3 linked regions of the Stegostoma tigrinum genome follow. The protein of the gene in region 2 interacts with the protein of the main gene of each other region in a pairwise test. Links are inferred from orthologs where the notes say so. Each region holds a gene or a part of one and is shown on either strand. Other genes may lie near its edges.

The links.
Region 1: the proteins of small glutamine-rich tetratricopeptide repeat-containing protein beta-like (region 2) and txndc12 interact in binary tests that used the Homo sapiens proteins (3 or more experiments, as listed by UniProt). The two-hybrid records come from large-scale screens. The link is inferred for Stegostoma tigrinum from reciprocal best matches to the Homo sapiens genes SGTB and TXNDC12.
Region 3: the proteins of small glutamine-rich tetratricopeptide repeat-containing protein beta-like (region 2) and retinoic acid-induced protein 2 interact in binary tests that used the Homo sapiens proteins (3 or more experiments, as listed by UniProt). The link is inferred for Stegostoma tigrinum from reciprocal best matches to the Homo sapiens genes SGTB and RAI2.

Annotation. Positions count from the first base shown.
Region 1 is NC_081361.1:64,051,276-64,058,882, forward strand, and holds the start of txndc12 (thioredoxin domain-containing protein 12), read right to left. Parts: upstream 3,054-7,607; 5' UTR 2,998-3,053; coding exon 2,910-2,997; intron 241-2,909; coding exon 180-240; intron 1-179. UniProt on the Homo sapiens protein: Protein-disulfide reductase of the endoplasmic reticulum that promotes disulfide bond formation in client proteins through its thiol-disulfide oxidase activity.
Region 2 is NC_081354.1:117,674,586-117,682,572, reverse strand, and holds the start of small glutamine-rich tetratricopeptide repeat-containing protein beta-like, read right to left. Parts: upstream 3,005-7,987; 5' UTR 2,689-3,004; intron 1-2,688. Other genes in the region: protein FAM149A-like, read left to right, coding at 3,095-3,627. UniProt on the Homo sapiens protein: Co-chaperone that binds directly to HSC70 and HSP70 and regulates their ATPase activity.
Region 3 is NC_081365.1:68,042,867-68,050,472, reverse strand, and holds the start of retinoic acid-induced protein 2, read right to left. Parts: upstream 3,061-7,606; 5' UTR 3,053-3,060; coding exon 2,984-3,052; intron 1-2,983.

The sequences.
Region 1 (7,607 bases), on a different chromosome or scaffold from region 2:
CTGATTATGTTTCATTTAAGAATTACATTTTAATAAAATCACATTAAGACATACTGACAAATTTGGCTCTTTGATATTCCAGGAGGAAGCCAGTCAATTGCCAACTAAATATACAAAGTTTAAAATCACAAATTCCAAGTCAGAAGTTGAACAGGAAGTTTCTACTTAGCTTTGCATACCTGGCTTCTGCTTCTTTTTTTCCATCATCCAGTGTTCTCCAGTGAATGTGGTCTCCAAATCCTGAAAAAAGGTTGCCATTCCTATGAATTTCCATCTCTGACAAATTGTTAGAGACAAACGTCGACACCTAAAACCTCATACAATGTTATTTTAATATCTCAATTCAATGGAATTGGATCATTTAAATTTGTTTGGTATTCATTATACACACTACCGTGCGCGTAACGATTGTTTTCTTCATTGGCAATTCTTTAGAGTGTGGGACACTAGAAGACAAAAATGGAAATTAAGTAAACTATTTGCTGCTGGACCTGTTACCTATCAAGGTCTTCACCATTTCCGGTCAACGACTGGGTCCAAATGACAAAAATAGAGGAGTTATAGAACAGAGATAATAAAGTGTGGAGCTGGAAGAACACAGCAGCCCAAGCAGCATCTCAGGAGCACAAAACCTGACGTTTCGGGCCTTGTCCCTTCAACAGAGAGGGGGATGGGGAGAGGGAACTGGAATAAATAGGGAGAGGGGGGGAGGCGGACCGAAGATGGAGAAAAGAAGATAGGTGGACAGGAGAGTATAGGTGGGGAGGTAGGGAGGGGATAGGTCAGTCCAGGGAAGACGGACAGGTCAAGGAGGCGGGATGACGTTAGTAGGTAGGAGATGGAGGTGCGGCTTGAGGTGGGAGGAAGGGATGGGTGAGAGGAAGAACAGGTTAGGGAGTCAGAGACAGGCTGGGCTGGTTTTGGGATGCAGTGGGTGGAGGGGATGAGCTGGGCTGGTTGTGTGATGCAGTGGGGGGAGGGGACAAACTGGGCTGGCTTTGGGATGCAGTGGGGGAAGGGGAGATTTTGCAGCTGGTAAAGTCCACATTGATACCATTGGGCTGCAGGGTTCCCAAGTGGAATATGAGTTGCTGTTCCTGCAACCTTCGGGTGGCATCATTGTGGCACTGCAGGAGGCCCATGATGGACATGTCAGCTAAAGAATGGGAGGGGGAGTTAAAAGGGGGAGGGATCGCAACTGGGACGTGCAGTTGTTTATTATGAACCGAGCGGAGGTGTTCTGCAAAGCGGTCCCCAAGCCTCTGTTTGGTTTCCCCAATGTAGAGGCAGCCACACCGGGTACAATGGATACAGTATACCACATTGGCAGATGTGTAGGTGAACCTCTGCTTAATGTGGAAAGTCATCTTAGGGCCTGGGATGGGGGTGAGGGAGGAGTTGTGGGGGCAAGAATACACCTCCTCCCACCCACCCTGCTGCAAAAATTCCATCCCCTATTCCCAATTCCTCCGCCTCTGCCACATCTGCTCCCAGAATGAGGCATTCAAGGACCACAACTTTCCCCCACACAGTGGTTGAGAATGCCCTTGAGCGCGTCTCCCGCATTTCCCGCAACACATCCCTCACACCCCGCCCCCGCCACAACCACCCAAAGAGGATCCCCCTCGTTCTCGCACACCATCCCACCAACCTCCGGATACAACGCATCGTCCTCCAACACTTCCGCCATCTACAATCCGACCCCACCACCCAAGACATTTTTCCATCCCCATCCTTGTCTGCCTTTCGGAGAGACCACTCTCTCCGTCACTCCCTTGTTCGCTCCACACTGCCCTCCAACCCCAACACACCTGGCACCTTCCCCTGCAACCGCAGGAAGTGCTACACTTGCCCACACACCTCCTCCCTCACCCCCATCCCAGGCCCCAACATGACTTTCCACATTAAGCAGAGGTTCACCTGCACATCTGCCAATGTGGTACACTGTATCCACTGTACCCGGTGTGGCTTCCTCTACATTGGGGAAACCAAGCAGAGGCTTGGGGACTGCTTTGCAGAATACCTCCGCTGGGTTCGCAATAAACAACTGCACCTCCCAGTCGCAAACCATTTTAACTCCCCCTCCTATTCTTTAGATGACATGTCCATCATGGGCCTCCTGCAGTGCCGCAATGCTGCCACCCGAAGGTTGCAGGAACAGCAACTCACATTCTGCTTGGGAACCCTGCAGCCCAACGGTATCAATGTGGACTTCACCAGCTTCAAAATCTCCCCTTCCCCCACCGCATCCCGAAGCCAGCCCAGTTTGTCCCCTACCCCCACTGCATCACACAACCAGACCAGCTCATGCCCTGCCTCCACTACATCCCAAAACCAGTCCAACCTGTCTCTGCCTCCCTAACCTGTTCTTCCTCTCACCCATCCCTTCCTCCCACCTCAAGCCGCGCCTCCCTAACCTGTTCTTCCTCTCACCCATCCCTTCCTCCCACCTCAAGCCGCACGTCCATTTCTTACCTACTAACCTCATCCCACCTCCTTAACCTGTCCGTCTTCCCCTGGACTGACCTATCCCCCTCCCTACCTCCCCCCACCTATACTCTCCTCTCCATCTTCGGTCCGCCTCCCACTCTCTCCCTATTTATTCCAGTTCCCTCTCCCCATCCCCCTCTCTGATGAAGGGTCTAGGCCCGAAACGTCAGCTTTTGTGCTCCTGAGATGCTGCTTGGCCTGCTGTGTTCATCCAGCCTCACATTTTATTATCTTGGATTCTCCAGCATCTGCAGTTCCCATTATTTCTGAGTTCTAGATCAGAATGACTAATCAAATGCGAGAAAGATTGACAGAGGTAACGGATTAGCCATAGACACACGATTTTTTGCGTTTCCACGGTTTTCAATTAAACCACATCAAAGCCATCGTTTAAATAAAACAAATATAAACTAACCCACCTCTTCCAAGACTTTCGCTCCCATATGTTTGAAAGCAGATCAGAAGAATGTTAAGGAGGACGAGATACAGGTACCTTTGCAGCTTCATTATCGGCTCTGACCCTCTCGCCAGTAACTCAAGGAAAGTAGAAGCTCAGAGGAAGTGACGCATTAGCAGTTCTTACTATTTCTGACGCATCAGAACGCCGTGTAACCCATTCTGTTCGGAATCGTGCCGCGGAGTCTTTTGCGGATATGCAAGCCTTCAGTTCAACGCATCGTCCAAATGGTAACATCTCAAGATATACATGTACTGTACAAGAATTAGTTAATAAATTCTATCGGAAGGTGCTTCGCTCGTGAGATATTTACTTGATATGCACAAATCTCCGCATGGTAATATTTAGCAACATATTAAAATAAGCAACTTGTTTTTACACGGTCACTTTAACGTAAAATATCCAAAGTACAGCCACCAATGGTGGAACAATTAAGATCAAGATGATCCAGAGACCTGGTCGCGCTGTATGGGATTCAGCAAGTCAGAAGATTGTGCGTGCAAGGCCCACTCCAGGTCTAAACAAAAGCGTGAGACTGGATGGGCTACCCAGCAACTACTTAGGCATGGACATGACAACATAAAAACCAGCGTTGTCAATCCTGCAAAATCCTCTTTACTGAGGTCCAGGGGTATGTGCCAAAACTGGGAATGCTGTCCCACAGCAGTGAAGCAGCATCTTCACCTGAAGTACTCTCAGAATCATACCTTATAGACAATATTCCAGATGCCACTGTCAACGTGCCTGGATATATCCTGTCCTACTGACAGAACAGACTCACCAGAAGTGAAAACAATGGAAAGAGTTGCCCTCTGGCAGTCCTCAAGATTGACTCTGTACCCCATGAAGTCTCTTGACATCAGACCAAACATGAGCAAGGAAACAGCCTTCTGATTACCACCAACTAACCCCACACCTTCTTCAGCACTCCTCTGCTAATGAATGAGTACTCCTTTATGCTGAAAACTAATTGCCACTTGAAAGGAAGCATTGAGAGTGACAATGGCACAGAATATATTCTCAGTCAATTGCTAAAGGTGATTTGGTGGCAGCACCATTACTCAAGCTGGCTGAGTCCTGAAGAATATTACAGACAGACTGGGTCTGCGGTACGTGGTGGAGGAACTAACAGGAGGAAATAAACTACCTAACCTCATCTTCACCAATATAGATTTTTCCCCATCCTATCTGACATTAAAAACTGTAATGTGAAACCTGATCTTCACCAACTTGCCTGTTGCAGGTGTCCATAATGACAATAATGGTGGGAGTGACCACAGTCATGCTAGAAACAAAAGTGGCTACGTTCACATTATGGATATATTACACTGTATTGTGTAAAACTCATATTATGCTCAATAGGACAGATTTCTAGTGACTCAGAACTAAACACATTAGAACTATGCTGTGGGCCATCAACAGCCACAATTTGTAATCTCATAACTAGGAAAATCCCTCACTCACTGTTACCATTAAACCAGGAGATTAATTCTGCTACAAAGAAGAGGGCAGGCAGACTCACCAGGACCAGCACCTGGCTAATTTAAAAACGAAGTCTCAAAGTGTGAAGCTATAACACAAAACACCCCACCCACACCTTCTCCACCTATCTTCTTTACTCTCCATCTTTGGTCCGCCTCCCCCTCTCTCCCTATTTATTCCAGTTCCCTCCCCCCATCCCCCTCTCTGATGAAGGGTCTAGGCCCGAAACGTCAGCTTTTGTGCTCCTGAGATGCTGCTTGGCCTGCTGTGTTCATCCAGCCTCACATTTTATTATCTTGGAATCTCCAGCATCTGCAGTTCCCATTATCTCTGATACTATTTTAACCTCACTGCGAAGCCTCTTCCAGGGATGCCTAACCTGAAGAAGTTACCCTCCTCCCTCCGGACCAACCTCAGGGAATCTCTCTCCCATTGACCTGTCCGTCTTCCCTGGACTGACCTATCCCCTCCCTACCTCCCCACCCACACCTTCTCCACCTATCTTCTTTACTCTCCATCTTCGGTCCGCCTCCCCCTCTCTCCCTATTTATTCCAGTTCCCTCCCCCCATCCCCCTCTCTGATGAAGGGTCTAGGCCCGAAACGTCAGCTTTTGTGCTCCTGAGATGCTGCTTGGCCTGCTGTGTTCATCCAGCCTCACATTTTATTATCATTAAACTACAAATAGCAGTAGTAGCAAGAATTTACAGTTAAGAGGGCCACAAATTAGATCAGATCTGACACCAGAATCCGAGGACAGGCCAAACAGTCAAGCATGGGAATTCCTCGAGGCCTGGTTCTCTACCAAGAAGATCATCAACAAACACATAGAACTCGACCCTATATTCACGGACCACTGCAAAGGAAAACCAGAAATGAGGTATTCAAATCCAACGGACGCCAGAGTTTAAATACCAGGTGGGAAAACACAACAGCACTTCATTGGAGGCTGCACTGATGATGTTACCCAGCAGGGTAATGAAATGTGTGCGAACTAACGAAACAGCTCAGTCGGCAAACCAACCACAGCATCCACAACCCAAGCAACAAATCTACTCAAGAACCTTAGAGTACTGTATGAAATTAAAAAGGCAGAATTAAAGGCATTGTGTCTGAATACATGCAGATTCACATCAAAGTTGACAATTTGAAAGCACAAATAGAAGTAAATGAGAATGATTTAATTGCCATTAAGGTATTGTGACTGTCGGGTTATAAAATATGGGAAAGGAATCAGATCACCCTGAAGCTCATTGAATGGCAGATCAAGCTCAAGGGGGCAGGTGGCCTACTCCTATTTCATACGTTGGACGAACACAGCAGGCCAAGCAGCATCTCAGGAGCACAAAAGCTGACGTTTCGGGCCTAGACCCTTCATCAGAGAGGGGGATGGGGGGAGGGAACTGGAATAAATAGGGAGAGAGGGGGAGGCGGACCGAAGATGGAGAGTAAAGAAGATAGGTGGAGAGGGTGTAGGTGGGGAGGTAGGGAGGGGATAGGTCAGTCCAGGGAAGACGGACAGGTCAAGGAGGTGGGATGAGATTAGTAGCTGGGGGTGCGGCTTGGGGTGGGAGGAAGGGATGGGTGAGAGGAAGAACGGGTTAGGGAGGCAGAGACAGGTTGGACTGGTTTTGGGATGCAGTGGGTGGGGGGGAAGAGCTGGGCTGGTTGTGTGGTGCAGTGGGGGGAGGGGATGAACTGGGCTGGTTTAGGGATGCAGTAGGGGAAGGGGAGATTTTGAAACTGGTGAAGTCCACATTGATACCATATGGCTGCAGGGTTCCCAGGCGGAATATGAGTTGCTGTTCCTGCAACCTTCGGGTGGCATCATTGTGGCAGTGCAGGAGGCCCATGATGGACATGTCATCAAGAGAATGGGAGGGGGAGTGGAAATGGTTTGCGACTGGGAGGTGCAGTTGTTTGTTGCGAACTGAGCGGAGGTGTTCTGCAAAGCGGTCCCCAAGCCTCCGCTTGGTTTCCCCAATGTAGAGGAAGCCGCACCGGGTACAGTGGATGCAGTATACCACATTGGCAGATGTGCAGGTGAACCTCTGCTTAATGTGGAATGTCATCTTGAGGCCTGGGATGGGGGTGAGGGAGGAGGTGTGGGGACAAGTGTAGCATTTCCTGCGGTTGCAGGGGAAGGTGCCGGGTGTGGTGGGGTTGGAGGGCAGTGTGGAGCGAACAAGGGAGTCACGGAGAGAGTGGTCTCTCCGGAAAGCAGACAGGGGAGGGGATGGAAAAATGTCTTGGGTGGTGGGGTCGGATTGTAAATGGCGGAAGTGTCGGAGGATAATGCGTTGTATCCGGAGGTTGGTAGGGTGGTGTGTGAGAACGAGGGGGATCCTCTTGGGGCGGTTGTGGCGGGGGCGGGGTGTGAGGGATGTGTCGCGGGAAATGGGGGAGACGCGGTCAAGGGCGTTCTCGATCACCGTGGGGGGAAAGTTGCGGTCCTTAAAGAACTTGGACATCTGGGATGTGCGGGAGTGGAATGTCTTATTGTGGGAGCAGATGCGGCGGAGGCGGAGGAATTGGGAATAGGGGATGTAATTTTTGCAGGAGGGTGGGTGGGAGGAGGTAGCTGTGGGAGTCGGTGGGCTTGAAATGGACATCAGTTACAAGCTGGTTGCCTGAGATGTAGACTGAGAGGTCCAGGAAGGTGAGGGATGTGCTGGAGATGGCCCAGGTGAACTGAAGGTTGGGGTGGGAGGTGTTGGTGAAGTGGATGAACTGTTACAACGCATTATCCTCCGACACTTCCGCCATTTACAATCCGACCCCACCACCCAAGACATTTTTCCATCCCCTCCCCTGTCTGCTTTCCGGAGAGACCACTCTCTCCGTGACTCCCTTGTTCGCTCCACACTGCCCTCCAACCCCACCACACCCGGCACCTTCCCCTGCAACCGCAGGAAATGCTACACTTGTCCCCACACCTCCTCCCTCACCCCCATCCCAGGCCCCAAGATGACATTCCACATTAAGCAGAGGTTCACCTGCACATCTGCCAATGTGGTATACTGCATCCACTGTACCCGGTGCAGCTTCCTCTACATTGGGGAAACCAAGCGGAGGCTTGGGGACCGCTTTGCAGAACACCTCCGCTCAGTTCGCAACAAACAACTGCACCTCCCAGTCGCAAACCATTTCCACTCCCCCTCCCATTCTCTTGATGACATG
Region 2 (7,987 bases):
GACTCAAAACATAAACTTTGTTTTCTCTTCACAGATGCTACCGGACCTGCTGAATTTCTCCAGCAACTTCTACTATTAAAATATTATTGGGATTCTATACACATCATAGCATTGAGTATAATGATAGGCAAGTTATGCTGCAGCTTTATAGAACTTTAGTTAGGTCACACGTGGAATATTGCATACAGTTCTATTCACCGCACGACCAGAAGGATGTGGATGCTTTGGAGAGGGTACAGAAAAGGTTTACCAGGATGTTGCCTGATATGGGGGATTTTAGCTATGAAGAATGCTTGAATAGATTGGGTTTGTTTTGACTGGAACACAGGAGGTTGAGGGATGACCTAATAGAAATGTATAAGATTGTGAACGTCATGAATAACTCGGAAAGTATGAGACTTTTTCCCAGTATGGAAGGGTCCATTACTAGGGGACACAGGTTCAACCCACAAGGGGGGGTGTTTAAGAGATTTGTGCGAGGCAAATCTTTCACAGAAAGGGTGGTGAGTGCCTGGAACGTACTGCCAGACGAGGTGGAGGAAGCAGACACAATAGCAGCTTTCAAGAAACATCTGGATGAATGCATAAATAGTAAGGGAATAGAGGGACACAGATCCTATCAGTGAAGAGAGTTTTAACATGGAAGGACAAAATATGACGGCACAGACGCAGAGGGCCAAAGGGGCTGTTCCTGTGTTGTACTGCTCTTTGTTCTTTATACAATTTGTTTATATTAATGGGACTACTTCCTGATTCAGACAAATGCCTTGGCTGCCAAGTGAAAGACCTGAAGAAAAATGTTAGAGTTTTGGGGCTGATTGGTGTTTCTGTTCCCATATGTAATTCCTGCAAACACATCCTCTTCCACTGATTCTGAAAAGTCTGCTATCAATCTAACCTCTTGGTTCTCAACAGAAGTAATTCATCCTCTCATCAAAATTAAACATTTTTCATGTATTATTGTATGATAGAGCTTGACTCCAGCATGCTAAGCAAAAAGTGGCTTGATTCAATTACAAACAAGCTGCTAAATGAAGACTCCATAATTAAAGAAAGCAAATTATTCCGGCTACTATTCATCCATCTCATCTTCCATTATGCCTTTTCTTTGCAGGTGATAGTATTGCTGTCTGAAATGAAATACCCTGAAAGATGAGCAGTTCTTTAGTTCAGTTCCTTCAGCTAAAGGTCACACTGTAAACCTCCACTGCGTTCTATTTCAAGCCCATTTATCACAGTGAAGCTGGCACCAGATGTTAAGAGTGTAAAATTGTTAATTACCACATTCATTTTCTTATTACATGAAATGAGTGAGTGTTTGTTATGATCGATCATTTGAGAAATAGTGAGATTTTATTTCCCCATCGTTGAGTCACATTCTAAGAGGAAAGGGAATCATTTAATATTGGTTTTGAGGGCTGAAGGGATGGGGAAAGGAGGGTCTGGTAAACAACACTCTACAGTATGGTCTCAGTTTCACAGAATTCTACTGAATGTCCCTTCAGGGCTCACAGCTGTAAGCTGTGAGCCCCTTCCCACTGCCCGATTGTATCTCTTTAGTGATACTGGGAACTGCAGATGCTGGAGAATCCAAGATCACAAATCATATTAGAGATAATGGGAACTGCAGATGCTGGAGAATTCCAAGATAATAAAATGTGAGGCTGGATGAACACAGCAGGCCAAGCAGCATCTCAGGAGCACAAAAGCTGAAACCCCCTCCCATTCTCTAGATGACATGTCCATCATGGGCCTCCTGCACTGCCACAATGATGCCACCCGAAGGTTGCAGGAACAGCAACTCATATTCCGCCTGGGAACCCTGCAGCCATATGGTATCAATGTGGACTTCACCAGTTTCAAAATCTCCCCTTCCCCTACTGCATCCCTAAACCAGCCCAGTTCGTCCCCTCCCCCCACTGCACCACACAACCAGCCCAGCTCTTCCCCCCCATCCACTGCATCCCAAAACCAGTCCAACCTGTCTCTGCCTCCCTAACCGGTTCTTCCTCTCACCCATCCCTTCCTCCCACCCCAAGCCGCACCCCCATTTACCTACTAACCTCATCCCACCTCCTTGACCTGTCCGTCTTCCCTGGACTGACCTATCCCCTCCCTACCTCCCCACCTATACTCTCTCCACCTATCTTCTTTACTCTCCATCTTCGGTCCGCCTCCCCCTATTTATTCCAGTTCCCTCTCCCCAAACCCCCTCTCTGATGAAGGGTCTAGGCCCGAAACGTCAGCTTTTGTGCTCCTGAGATGCTGCTTGGCCTGCTGTGTTCATCCAGCTCTGCACTTTGTTATCTCTGTATCTCTTCAGTGGCTCCTTCCCTGAACTTAACCTACTGAGGAGCCCATAATCCAGCAAGCTGCACAACTTAATGTTCATGGGGTAATGCCTGGTGCCGCTCATCTTTGCTGAGGGGATGGGGAGGCTCTGCCATGACAGTGCAAACTCCAAGGCAGTATTTTTAAAAATAAAAGTCAGTGCAAAATCAGTGTAATGAGAAGTCAAACACTGGAACATGCATTCAGTGCCTTCCCCGTACGACATCAAACCTTTCACGGTTTCAGTGAAATCTGTTTCCTCACACGGTAAATAAGAACCACCCTTCAGCCATTGGTAATAGACCAACCAGGAGTAAGGGTTTTGTTTTGCGTAGCAACCTGGACTGCTGTTGTCACCTGACAAGTCTGCGAGCCAGCCAACTCTGTTTTTGATGGCAATCTTTTGTTCTTGTCTTCTAAGAGAATTATTACTTTACGAGCAGCCGAGCAAGCTGGAGAGTTGCAGCTATTTCTTCATCTGCAGTAGAACAGCAGACAAACCGTCAAGCTGACAAACAAGACTGGACTGACTCTTCAATCATATAGTGTAGTGTACTGGCAACGGCTACAGTTAGCGGAGAAATAGAAAGCCTCCCCGTCTCTGGGAGAATATCTTCAAGACTGATTTCTAAAGAAAACTTACTTTCCTCTTAATGGGAAAGTCAGATCGTATCAAATTTCTTAAGTGCCTGGCGATACAGTTGCCTGGGGTCCTGAGGCTGATCAAGCTGGCATGTTTTAAGTGCGTTTGACAACAAAAAAAATGAAGCTTGCAGTGCTGGACCTGGGAACCATATTTGCAAATATTTTCAAGACTTCCGCTTCTCCTGTAATCCCGCCAGCTGGTTCCTCAAATAGTGGACAGTCAGCAACACCTCATGGACCATCGGCGATATCGGTATCTTCATCTTTGTCCGGTGTCTCAGGGAAAGCCTCTGGACTTTCTGGAAGTGGCTCTGCTCCGGGCAGCCCTGTCACTGTTAAAAACAGCAGCGCCTCTTTTCCAGCGTCAGCTTCTGTGCCCAAGTCAGCTGGCCTGAGTGTAGGGACTGCAAGTCAGATAGCAGTCCGGGCAGCTCCGAGCTCCGGCCTGGCCAGTTTAAATGCAGTGAAAACCATGCCATCTCCGACCGGATCAAACAACAGTATCATTTCTGGCACGGGAAGGTCCCCGGTATACTCGGTTGAGGATAGCGTTACGTGGAAACTGTCCAACAAGCAACATCCCTTCACTTTGCCCAACATCGGCGAGGAGGGAGTCACCGATACAGATTCAGCAGAAAGTAGCAGTGAAAAGTAAGAAGATTGCATTCTGTTGGGGGAAGGGAGAAATGTGTTGTTCGATTTTCGTTTTTAAAATCCTGATTTATTTTGAAGAAGTCTGCTTAGCAGACGCTCCAAATTTAAGAGCCTGTTTCCACTTCTTCCCCACATCCAATGATTCCTTTAGGTCCAAGGGCTATAATTAACTCCTTCTTGAATGTTTCGGGTTTGACAGCTTTCTGTAATAGTGAATGGCGCAGGAATGTCTCCTCACCTCAGTCCTTACATGGTTTACCCCGGAACTTTCAACTGTAACCCATGGTTCTGGACTCCCCCGCCCCGATCCTTCCTTCGTCCACCCTGTCGAATCCTGATAGAATTTTATGGGTTTGTATGAGATCCCCAAAGTTTGATGCCTAGCATTTGGCACAGTACTCCAGCTGGGTCAGTTTTTTGTTATAAAGGTTTTTGTTGTAAAGGTTCACCATGACCTCCTTGATTTTATATTCACTCTCTTTTAAGAATCCGAAGATTCCATGTGCCTCAGTAACTATTTCCCTCACCTGCCCTGAAAACCTCAATGTTGTGTACATTTATAAACCCAGGCAGTTCTCTTTCTGCAACCCCTTTAGGATTTATTTCACAGATAAAAGAAGCCTGTCGGTGTGGTGCATTTTAATTTCAAGGACAATTTTGATAAGGATCCACAAAAGTGGGTAACAGGCAAAATTAAAGCATGTTGGATTGGGGGCAGCATTCTGGCATGGATTATGAATTGATTGACAAACCAGAAACACAGTTGAAATAAATCTTTCCAAGTGGTGATTGGTGGTGTCATGCAGGGGTCAGTGCTGGGCCTCAGCTATTCATGATTGTTATAAACTCAGTGTGAGGAAACCAGATACAAAATTTCTGATGAAGGGTCTAGACCCGAAACGTCAGCTTTTGTGCTCCTGAAATGCTGCTTGGCCTGTTGTGTTCATCCAGCCTCACATTTTATTATCACAAAATTTCCAAGTTTGGTCATGACCCGAGATGAGGTGGGATTGTGATGATGATGCAAGAAGGAGGCTTCTAGGCAGGTTGTGTGTGAAAACACATCGCAGAAGCAGTATATTGTGGATAACTGTGAAGTTTTATGCTTCAGTGTGATATACTGAAAAGAAGAATATTATTTAAATAGTGATATGTTTGGAAGTTTGGATATGCAAAGGAATCTGCATATCCTTGTTGACCAGTTAAGAAGGCAAGTGATATATTGGCGTTGGTTGCAAAATGATTTGAGGTCCGAAGCAGGGATGCCATACGAGGTATACAGGACCCTGGTGAGATGGTTGTGCGCAGTTTTGGTCTCCCTGCCAAAGACTGTGTATACTGGCCAGAGGGAATGCAGCAAAGGTTCACCCGGATGATACCAGGGTTGGCGGGACTGTCATATGAGGAGAAATTGTTTCAACTGGGCCAATATTCATGAAAGTTTAAAAGGATGAAAGGGAATTTTGATTGGAAATTATAAAATTCTAACAGGCCTGGACAAATGCATGGAGCGCATCTTCCCTGGTTGGGTAATCTAGAAGTAAGGGTCATAGTCTCAGGATAGGATGGCTAATCTACATAAACTGCACATCTTTGGACTGTGGGTGGAAATAGCAGCACCCAGAGGAAACTCACACAGACATGGGGAGAATGTGCAAACTCCACACAGCCCACAGCTGGGATGAAACCCAGATGCCTGGTGGTATGAAGCAGCAATGCAAACCACTGTGCCACATTGCCACCTCAAAGCCTTTTTCTTAATCTTTGCTGATTGTGTGGCCTAGCTATTTCTTACTCTTTATCACTAATGCCCTGCATTTCTTTCCATGCCCTCTTGTTTTGTCTTTCCATCCCTTATCCTGTTCCTCTACATCAATGAATCTTCAGGACTTTCCCCTTGTACCTTTTACTAAAAGCACTCAAAACTGAAAAATCAGACCTCCAATAGCTGAAACTGATTCAACTTCTGAGTTTTTTGTGATCTGTAAATTTTGGGATTGTGGGCTGTACACCCCAATCTAGATTTAGGGGAGGCAGTGGCCTAGTGGTATTATTGCTGGACTGTTGATCCATAGACCCAGATAATGTTCTGGGGACCTGGGTTCAAATCACAGCACGACAGATGGTGGAAATTGAATCTACTAAAAATCTGGAAATAAGCATCTAATGATGATCTCAAATCCATTGTCGATTGTTGGGGAAAAACCCATCTAGTTCACTAATGTACTTTAGGGAAGGAAACTACTGTCCTTACCTTGTCTGTCTGTGTGTGACTGCCAACCCACAATGTGGTTGACTCTCAACTGCCGTCTGGGGAAATTAGGGATTGTCAATAAATGCTGGCCTAGCCAGTTTCACCCTCATTCTGTGAATGAATTTTAACAAAATTATTGATACACTTTAAGAAACGAAATGGCCCTAATGCCTATCCCTGGAGAGCCGCACTGTATTCCTTTCATGATATGAAACATTATACACTACTATGCCCCGTTCCTATAGTTCAAATTTTCCTGGTGTTAAGTTGGAGTAAGGTTTTGCTCATATGATATTGGATGTTAAGCAGGCAGTTTGATCATTTAAATGCAGCGGAGAGGTTGAAGAAGGTGTTTGAAATGGAGAGTTTGGTGTTACTAGTGTATAGTGGAAACTGACCGTTTTTTCAGTTGTTCGTGCCAAGAGACAGTATGTGGATGAAAGCTACAGTGAAAGTCCCTTGTTGGGTCACAATGAATTGGGACATGTCATAAGTGATCCAAGTCAGAAATCACATGATGCCAGGTTACAGTAAAACAGATTTATTTGAAATCACAAGCTTTTGGAATGTAGCCCCTTTGTCAAGTGAAGTGAGAGAGAAGCACACAGATCCAGAATTTATGGGCAGAGAAATTAAAACGTCAAACAAATGGTGTGAGTGGAGTATCAAATAATAAGTCCCTGAAGGTGATCCAAAGTGTTAGCGTGAGTAAAGTGTCAACAGCGGAATAACAAGCAAAGGGATTTCATGTTGTTCCAGTCATTTGGTTTCTCTCCAGCATCACCTTATTTTTAATTTTTTGTAATTATCTCTCTGTCTCATTTAATTGGATTACAGGTTATCCTTTGCTTGTTGTTCATTTTTACTTACATGGTCTAACACTTTGGATCACCTGCAGGGATTTGTTATTCGACACTCTGCTCTCACAATTCGCATGATCTTTCGATCGCTCTGCCCTTGATCTCTCTGCCTATAAATTCTGTACTCTGTGTGCTCCCTTCTCACTTCACCTGATGAAGGGGTGTCACTTTGCAAACTTGTGATTTCACATAAAGTTAGTGATTTCAAATATGCCGGTTAGACTTTAGTCTGGTGTCATGTGACTTCTGACTTTGTCCACCCAAATCCAACACTGGCACCTTCACATCATAAATAAACCATGGACAGATGTTGCCATGCAGGGGCAAAAAAAAAATTAGTGGTGTGAACTGGGGTAAGGGTTAAGAAACTCAAAGCATCTTCTGACCCTTCTCATAGCAAAGGTGAAGTAGAGATGGAATTTGGAGAACTTTTTCTGTCCGATCTGATATTTGTGGCACGTTGTGCAGTCAGCAAATTTATGGATTAATCACCCATATGAAATTGAGATTCCTCTGGGAGGTGAGGGTGTTAGAGAGGGAATTGAATCTATTGCAGGTCGTTCTCCAGCTATGACTAGATTGAGAAGAATGGACTCCCCAGTGAGAGCAGCCCCCCTCGACTGGAAAACAGGGGAAAAGTGTTTGAAGGGACAGTGTTTGAGAAAATGTAGAAAATAGGACCTGTGGTATAGGGTAGGATGTGGAGGGATAGTTTATCTTTGCTACAGTCAAATAACACGTCACTTCTGAGTTTGATGAGCGTTACTTCACTGTTGTGGCAGGGGCACAAAATTGATTGGAAAGATTCAAGTAGGAAGTTCTGGGAAAACAGGGCACAGGTATGGGAGGTGACAACACGTTTAAGAACTTTGTTGGACATTTTGCAATTCAGATCAATACATTTGCTCCCATTTTAATGGGATAGGTGGACAAAAGGTATGCGATGAAATGAGGCTGTGCAAATAACAGGCAAAAGGATGTTCCATGTCAACTAGTATTTAAATTAAAAGCAAAAAAAGCACTGGAAATATTCATCAGCTCAAGTATATCTGTGGAGAGTAACCGAATTAGCATTTCAGGTCTATGGCGCAGCATTTTTATCAAAGTGAAAATATTATGCAAGGTGGCATGTAGACTAATTGCTTCCAGTGAGACTGCTTCACAATTTTGCTGACGTTGCTTCTGTTGCCCTGTGAATTTTGCTTTGGATATTTGTGGGGATACGTAAGAATGATCCAGCCAT
Region 3 (7,606 bases), on a different chromosome or scaffold from region 2:
GCCGGGCTTCAATTGTTGACCATACTTGTTTGTGACTTAGATCCTAACACAATAGAGAGCTACAGATCTAAGTTTGTTGTTGACACAAAGACTTGTGGTACAGTAGGTAGCGGTGGAGATGGGAGCATAGCCTAAGAAAAAAGCATGATTGATTGAAATGCCAGGAGAAACTGGGGCAGGCTGATTTCAATACACAAAGTGGAAGATCGTTTATTTAGGAGCAAAAAGGGATAGTTCCAACTGTTTTTGAAATAGCTAAAAGCGAGAAATAGTGGAGGTGCAAAGAGATTTAGGAGTCTACATATTCAGATTAAAATGTAGTCATCAACTGCAGAACCAAAGAAAGGTAAGGGAATGTTAGCTGTTATATTTAAGAGGGGAAGAACATAAGGAGGAGGACACTATGATACATCTATACAAAGCCCTGATTAGATAGTGTTTGGAGAGCTATGTACAGCTGGGACACCCCGCTTTACAAATGATATTTTGGCTTAAGAAGGAATGCAATGCAAATGTTCCCAGGTCTCTAAGATTACAGATTATGAGGAGCTATTATATAAAATGAGCCTGTATTCTCCATAATATAGCAGGTTATGGGTTTATTTGGTTGAGGTTTATAAAACTTTGAAGGGAAGGATAGATAGAGAGAAACTGCTGGTGGGAGAGTCTAGAACAAGAGAACATAACTTACAACACTGGGCTGTTCAGGACAGGAGTCAGGAAACACATCTTTACCTAAGTTGTTGTAGAAATGTGGAATTCTCTCCTGTAAAAAGCAATGGTTATTCGCTCAATTAAATATTTTAAAATTGAAGATCAATAGATTTTTGATGGACAATTTGAGAGGAGTGGGGTAAGTAAATACTTGATTTCAATTTGATTTATTATTGTCACATGTACCAAGATACAGTGTAAAGTATTGTTTTGCATGCTCCATAGGCAGATTTTACCATACAAAGTGCATCAGGTAGCACTTTGTTTGGTTTTATTACTAATATTTATCATACTTTATTTATATCTTCTGTAATCAACTTTTATTCTGTAAATGCCCTTCTCTCTGCAATTAAACAATGAGCATCAAAAATATTGTGGAGCAGGATTTGAGAAGCCACTAGATAGTGAACTTTAAAACAGAGCTGAATTAATATAGTGATCAGAGATAATGGGAACTGCAGATGAAGGGCCAAGGCCCGAAACATCAGCTTTTGTGCTTCTAAGATGCTGCTTGGCCTGCTGTGTTCATCCAGCTCCACACTTTGTTAGCTGAATTAATATATAGACCTTTATTTCCTGATGCTCATATATATATATTTGAATAACATCAGATGACATATCCAAAGTAATTTCTCTGATGCACATTTGACTCCAATTCAGTCAGTCCCTTAATCCAAGTTATTAGTATAATTTATAAATAGTTCACCATTCAAGCAGTTACAGTTTTCCAACTGGAAACAGAATCATTTAGCATGGTTCTGTGTTTCCAGTCAGCCAATCCTCAATCGAAGATGATCTGTCACCCACAATGCAATGATTTCTTAACTTGTACAATAACCGCTCGTGTGACATCTTAGTTAATGTCTTTTTAAAATTTAAACATCTTATTTCTCATGGTATCCCTCATTCCACTGTGATTGAAAGTGTTTTAATAGATTAATCAAACATGATTTCCCTTTCACAAAGCCATGTTGATTCTACCTGATTATAATCAAGATTTTCCAAATCACTTGCTAATACATGCCAACATTTCCCAATGCCAGACGTTAAACTAACTGGACGATGGTGTTCTGATATCTGACTCCTTTCTTTTTTGCAGAATGCTGTAACATTTATGACCTTTTAAGAAACTTGGGGAATTTTGGAAAATTACAACCAATATACTTGTCATGTTTGCAGTCCATCTTTTGCTTTTACTTCTTAATTTTCCATTATTTTGGGATGGTACTTGGGATTGGTACTCTGTTGATAAATTACAAAATATTTATTCAAAATCTCTGCCATTCCTCCCCCCCCCCCCCATTATTAATTTCCCAGTCTTAACCGCAAAGGGACCAATACTCACTTTAGCTACTGTTTTCCTATTTTAATACAGACAGGAGCTTTTACTGTCAGTTTCTATATTTCTTGCTCAATTTCTTTCATGCACTAATTTCCTCCTCTTTTTTAGTCATCCTTTGAGGGTTTCTAAACTTTTTCCAATATGAGTGCCGCCACTAATTTTTACAATATCATGCAACTTTACTTTTGATTTTATACCTTCTTAGAGCCAAGGATGGATGAGACATTATTCACATTGAATATTTATAGTGGAAAATGCCCTTGAAATATTGCCATTGCTTCTCTACCACTGTAGCATTACAACAAGCTCCGTCTTCATTTCATTTCAAGACATTAGTTTAAGAACCATAGGTCATCTGCCAACTTGCCACCAGACTACCCCGCATACCTACGACTATAAATGCACCACACCACCCCCTTATCACCCACACAGGTGCCTGTCTTCATATCCAGATGCCAACCTACCCAGGCCCCTTAGCCCTTATTTGTCTGCACTGTCATTAGAAAACATTAAATATTAATGAAAAAATCTAAATTACACTGAGATTCATTACGTCATATCATGAATGTTTAAAAATATTCCATTTACAAATCATAAATAATTTTTAAAAAGTAATAGCTGAAAAATGCTACAGGAGTTTTATTAAATGTACCTTGCAATTTAAATGCCCATCCTCTCCGCTGCAGTCCCTAATGGGTGTTCTCAGCTCCTCCAGTTATATTGTAAGAGTCAATGGGACACTTGGGGTCCAGGTGAAGGCTAGGCCAATAGTGCAACACCCTCTTTTGCCACTCCTATGCCATAAATCCTGGTACCATGAATTGAAACACATTTCTTCCTCACCTATTCAACTCTTTGATCTGATATATTCTATTCTTATTTGCTTATGTTTCCAGTAATAATCCAGAGATTATTACAATACAATACCTCTTTGGCTCTGCTTTTCAATTTATCCTCTAATTGTTCATACTTCTTCAGCAGAGCTGCCTTCTTCATTACACCTAGGTTATTGGTATCCATGTGGACCACAATGAATGGATCCTTTCTCCAGCTCTGAGAGGGTGTCCTTGAACCCCATGCATAGTAATAGAAAAGTAAAATAGTGAATATTTATCTTAGTTTTTGGAAGGTTCATAATAGTACAGCTCACTGTTATTTTCAGATTGAGTTCCGCTGAGCTCTAGTTCACATCTGCAGGAGTACTCCACAAGCAGTAGTAATCACATGATATCATACCTCTTTATATTCTTTTCTATTAAAGAGATCTTTGAAACAAGAGACACAAAACAAACCATATGGTATGGACTGAAACCAAGCTGAATTGCCTTTTTTAATCAAGGATAAGCAGAATCTATGCACCTGGCTAAGTAAAGGCAGTGGATGTTGTTTCACAGAATCCTCGCATTGTTGAAGATATTCTATTATTTCCATTAATACTTTAAAGGCAGTTTAGCAAAACGTCTGGGTGCATTTTTTAACATTAACACTAAAATCTTTTTCTGTTGGGATTTTTACATTGTTTTGCAGTGACTCAAAATATGAGTCCCTTCTATGAATTGCAGATTTTATGAAAGCCAGTCAAGAGTTGGACGAACAGAGGCCAAGCCAGGATGAGAGGAAGCACAAATTGGAGAAAGGAAACTCTCTTAATAACACTATTGAGACAATAATTGGAGGCAGGTAGAACATACAGGAAGATCACATTTTCACAGGTCTGTTATTGTCAGTTCTCTTCCCTGAATGTACAATGTTTAAGTGGAATGCTGAACATGTTGTTAATATTGTGTATAATTACCTGCTTCAACTTCCAGATTAAACTCATACCTATCAAAAAGGTGTAATTGTTACTTGGAAGTATGTATCATAGCACATATCAAATCATAAAGGGCACCTCAGTTAATGTATTTCAAACATAAAGCTGGAATTAATCTAAAAATTTACGTGCACTTCTACATCTGATTCAATTTCATTTTTTTAACATTATCAAAACTAAGGTGCTAGGTAACAGCAGTTTTCTTAGGTCATCACCAACATTCCACAAACTAATCATGAATCACTGCGTTTATCAAATCATAGCATCCTTAATGCAGCATTCGTAACAAGATAAAATGCAGTGATAACAAAAATACAAATAAATGGGGATGAAAACAGAATGGTTGCAAGGTGACCAAAGTTGGAAACTGAAGGGCACTCAAGGGCATTTCACAATCAACAGAGGTAGGGGAGGAAGAGGAAAAAGGAGGTCGAGTAGCTGTATTAAATGAAAGAGGAGATCATGATTGTAGTGAGAAACAATCTTGGCTTAGAACAGTATAGATGAAAGTAAAAAATAGCAAGGGGAAGGTATCACTGGGGTGTAAATTATCGGCCCTCAAAGTAGCGACACAGTACAGAGTATAAATCAAGAAATAATGAAGGCCTATATAAAAGAAATGTTCTCCAATTTTCCCCAGGTAATTTTAACCTTTATTTAAATTGGACAAATCAAGTTGACAATTGACAAATAACTATGAAGATGATTTCATAGAATGTATTCATCACAATAAAATGATATATTGTCAAAACAACCAGGAATGAAGATATTTTACACCTGCTAATGTGAAATAAGGCTGGATTAATTTATAATGTTATCAGAAAGATTCCTCTAGGGAAGACTGTTCATAAAAACTGTAGAATCTCACATTCAGCATAAGGGTGGTCAATAGGTTTCCCAAGCATATATTTGAGTTATGTCCAATATTTACTCAGAAACAGTATCCTTTGTTGAGTACTCTTGAACTGTGCACTATTGCGTTATGGAGATAGCCAGTTTATAATGTTGCATTTTGCATCAGATAGCAGTGGAACCTTACCTCTTCCTCAATGCCTCCTAATTTTATGACAATTCCAAGTTCAAGAGAGTCTCATTTTAGTTCCATTGTCCAAAGTACTGGGTTGCCAACCGCAATTTCAAATAATATTGCCAACAATGTTTGCTAAATCATGCATTCATCCAGCTCGTTATGATGCACTGCTTGAGATCGGAAAGCTAAGATCAACATCTTGATTTTTTCATCATCAAGAAGGTTAATTTTATTCCCTAAAATAAAGCACCTTTATTCTACACTAATCCCAATAGCTATCCATGCACTAGTGAGTTCTTCCATTTTTGGTGAGCTAAAAGGCTAAATTGTTGTTAAATAGTGAAATTCTTCTGCTGCATTCATGATAGTCATGCACTGATTTTATTTCATTTGTTCACAGGGTGTGGGAATCACTAGACATGCATTTATTGCCCATCTCCTAATCGCCCAGGGGGCATTAAAGAGTCACTCCCATTGGTATCTGGTTTGGCCCAGATACCAATGACAGGTTCCCTTCCCTAGATATTAAATATGGCACTAGGAAATCCGAGAAATTACATCAACCTGCAGTGGATAGGGTGCCTTGGGGATGTGGTGCTTTATCGTAATGAGTTCAGCATGAAGAGATAGTGTGAGAAATCTTGTCAGGCCTCATGGAGCAAAACCATCCATGGAAATGCGACAAAACTGACACAGGCAAATTGCAGTCAAATTCAGCTCAAGGTGTAATTAGTAGATTATGTGCTGTAAGAAGTTGCATTCACTGAGGTTGACCGCTCAGAATAAAACATTGCAATCATGGCTTTACATTAGTGTCCTTGGGATAATTCCTGTCATTGGCTATCAATGGTTATCTGGTCATACTACTTCTGAGCGTTTCTTCCGTCAAGGTTGTGAAATCTTTGGGCTGACACACATTCTTGTTAATATACCATTGTTATAGGTATCCCAGAGCAGACACAAAACTTGGATGGACTCCGTCAAATGAACTGGTCAAAATGGAGTTACAGCCTGGCTGTATGTAGTGCAGGCTAGTTTTATTTCATAAATAAAAACCCGAAAGAGTGGTGGATGCTGTAAATCAGGATCAAAAACAGAAGTTGCTGAAAAAGCTCATCAGGTCTGGCAACATCAGTGAAGAAAAACAAAATCAGAGTTAATGTTTTGTGTTCTGTTCAGAGGAAAGGTCACCAGACGCAAAACATCAACTGATTTTATTTCTTCACTGACCCTGACAGATTTGCTGAGCTTTAACAGCAACTTCTTTCTTTGTTCCTAGTTTTATCTCATGTCAGCCTCAGTAATTTACGGCTCCTGTTGAGCTGCGCAGCCCATCAGCAATGCAGCTCATGCTGGCTGAACTATGCAATCACGTTAATTATTTGGCACTACAAAATTGGTGTCAGTGGCAATTAGCACTGGTTAATCCCTTCATTGTAACCAATGTTTGAGGGTTATTGAGTTCCACACCATTGTATCACAAACTAATACAATATAGAAGCCTACCATTCTGCACTGTCTCTTTTAAGAAGTAATCTAACTGGTCCCAAGCTTTTGTTCTTTCTCCACGGTCCTGCAAATTATTCCACGTCCAAGTATTTGCCTAATTTGCTTTTGAATGTTACTAATGGATCTGCTTCCACCACACTTATGATCATAAAATTTTTCCTGATCTTTCTATAAAAAACATTCACAGAAAATTTCTGCAAGTCGTGATTAAAAGGACCCTGATTTCTTTTCTTCTCTGAAGGAAAAACATTTATTCGTAAAATCTTTAGAACAGCTGCAATGCTCAAGTACTATATTCAAACTCTACTCCTTAGCTTGCTGCTAAGTAATAAGTAATTAATTGATTTAGATGTGTTTCAGTATACCAATAGCTAACAGGAACGAAGAATTATATCTAAAGCAAGGCATGTACATAATTCTGTTGTGTATGCAAGACTCTTGATCCAGTGAGTCCAATTCCATCTCAACATTACAAAACATAATTAGCTGCATGAGCAAATATCACCTTCTAAATTTGACTAGATGTAAATTACGCCATAGGTCTTATCATGTGTCAATAATTAACAGATTGTGAACAACAAAACCCTGAATGTAAAAGGTTTGCAGAATGGAGAAGATGGATGGCTGAACTTCACAATTTGTTAATCAATCCCCGTCCAATTTCTTCTGGCTTTTCTTATTTCTTCCAGTTTCCCCTCACAGTATGCCACTTTGTGGGTTAAACAGGCAGGGTGGCCCACATGCTGAGTTTTCAAGAAGGAACAACTTTTCAAAATAAAGGTATTATCTTACCTCAGTGGCACATTCTGACTGCTGGTGAGAAACAGGAGGCCAATTATATCCTGTACAGTATAATGAGGCTGTCCACCACTTTTATCATCTGGGCACAGCAGTAACCACATCATAAAATAACATACTCCAATGGAATTCACAAATGAAGTCTGCTACATAGTTTAAAAGTGCTATCAATATTAGTGTCAAATAAGCCAGCTACGGCTATGAGTAAGTAAATGCAGGAACTATAGTACTGGGCTAACAACTAGTTCAGGTTGAGAAGCATGTTGCAAAATTGAATTCAATACATCTGGTAATTTGGCTTCAAAACAAAAATGACTGTAAAAGCTTCCAGATTGCTGTAAAACTTCAACTGTTCACAAATGCGTCTCAGGGAAGAGAACCAACCACCTGCACTCAGTCT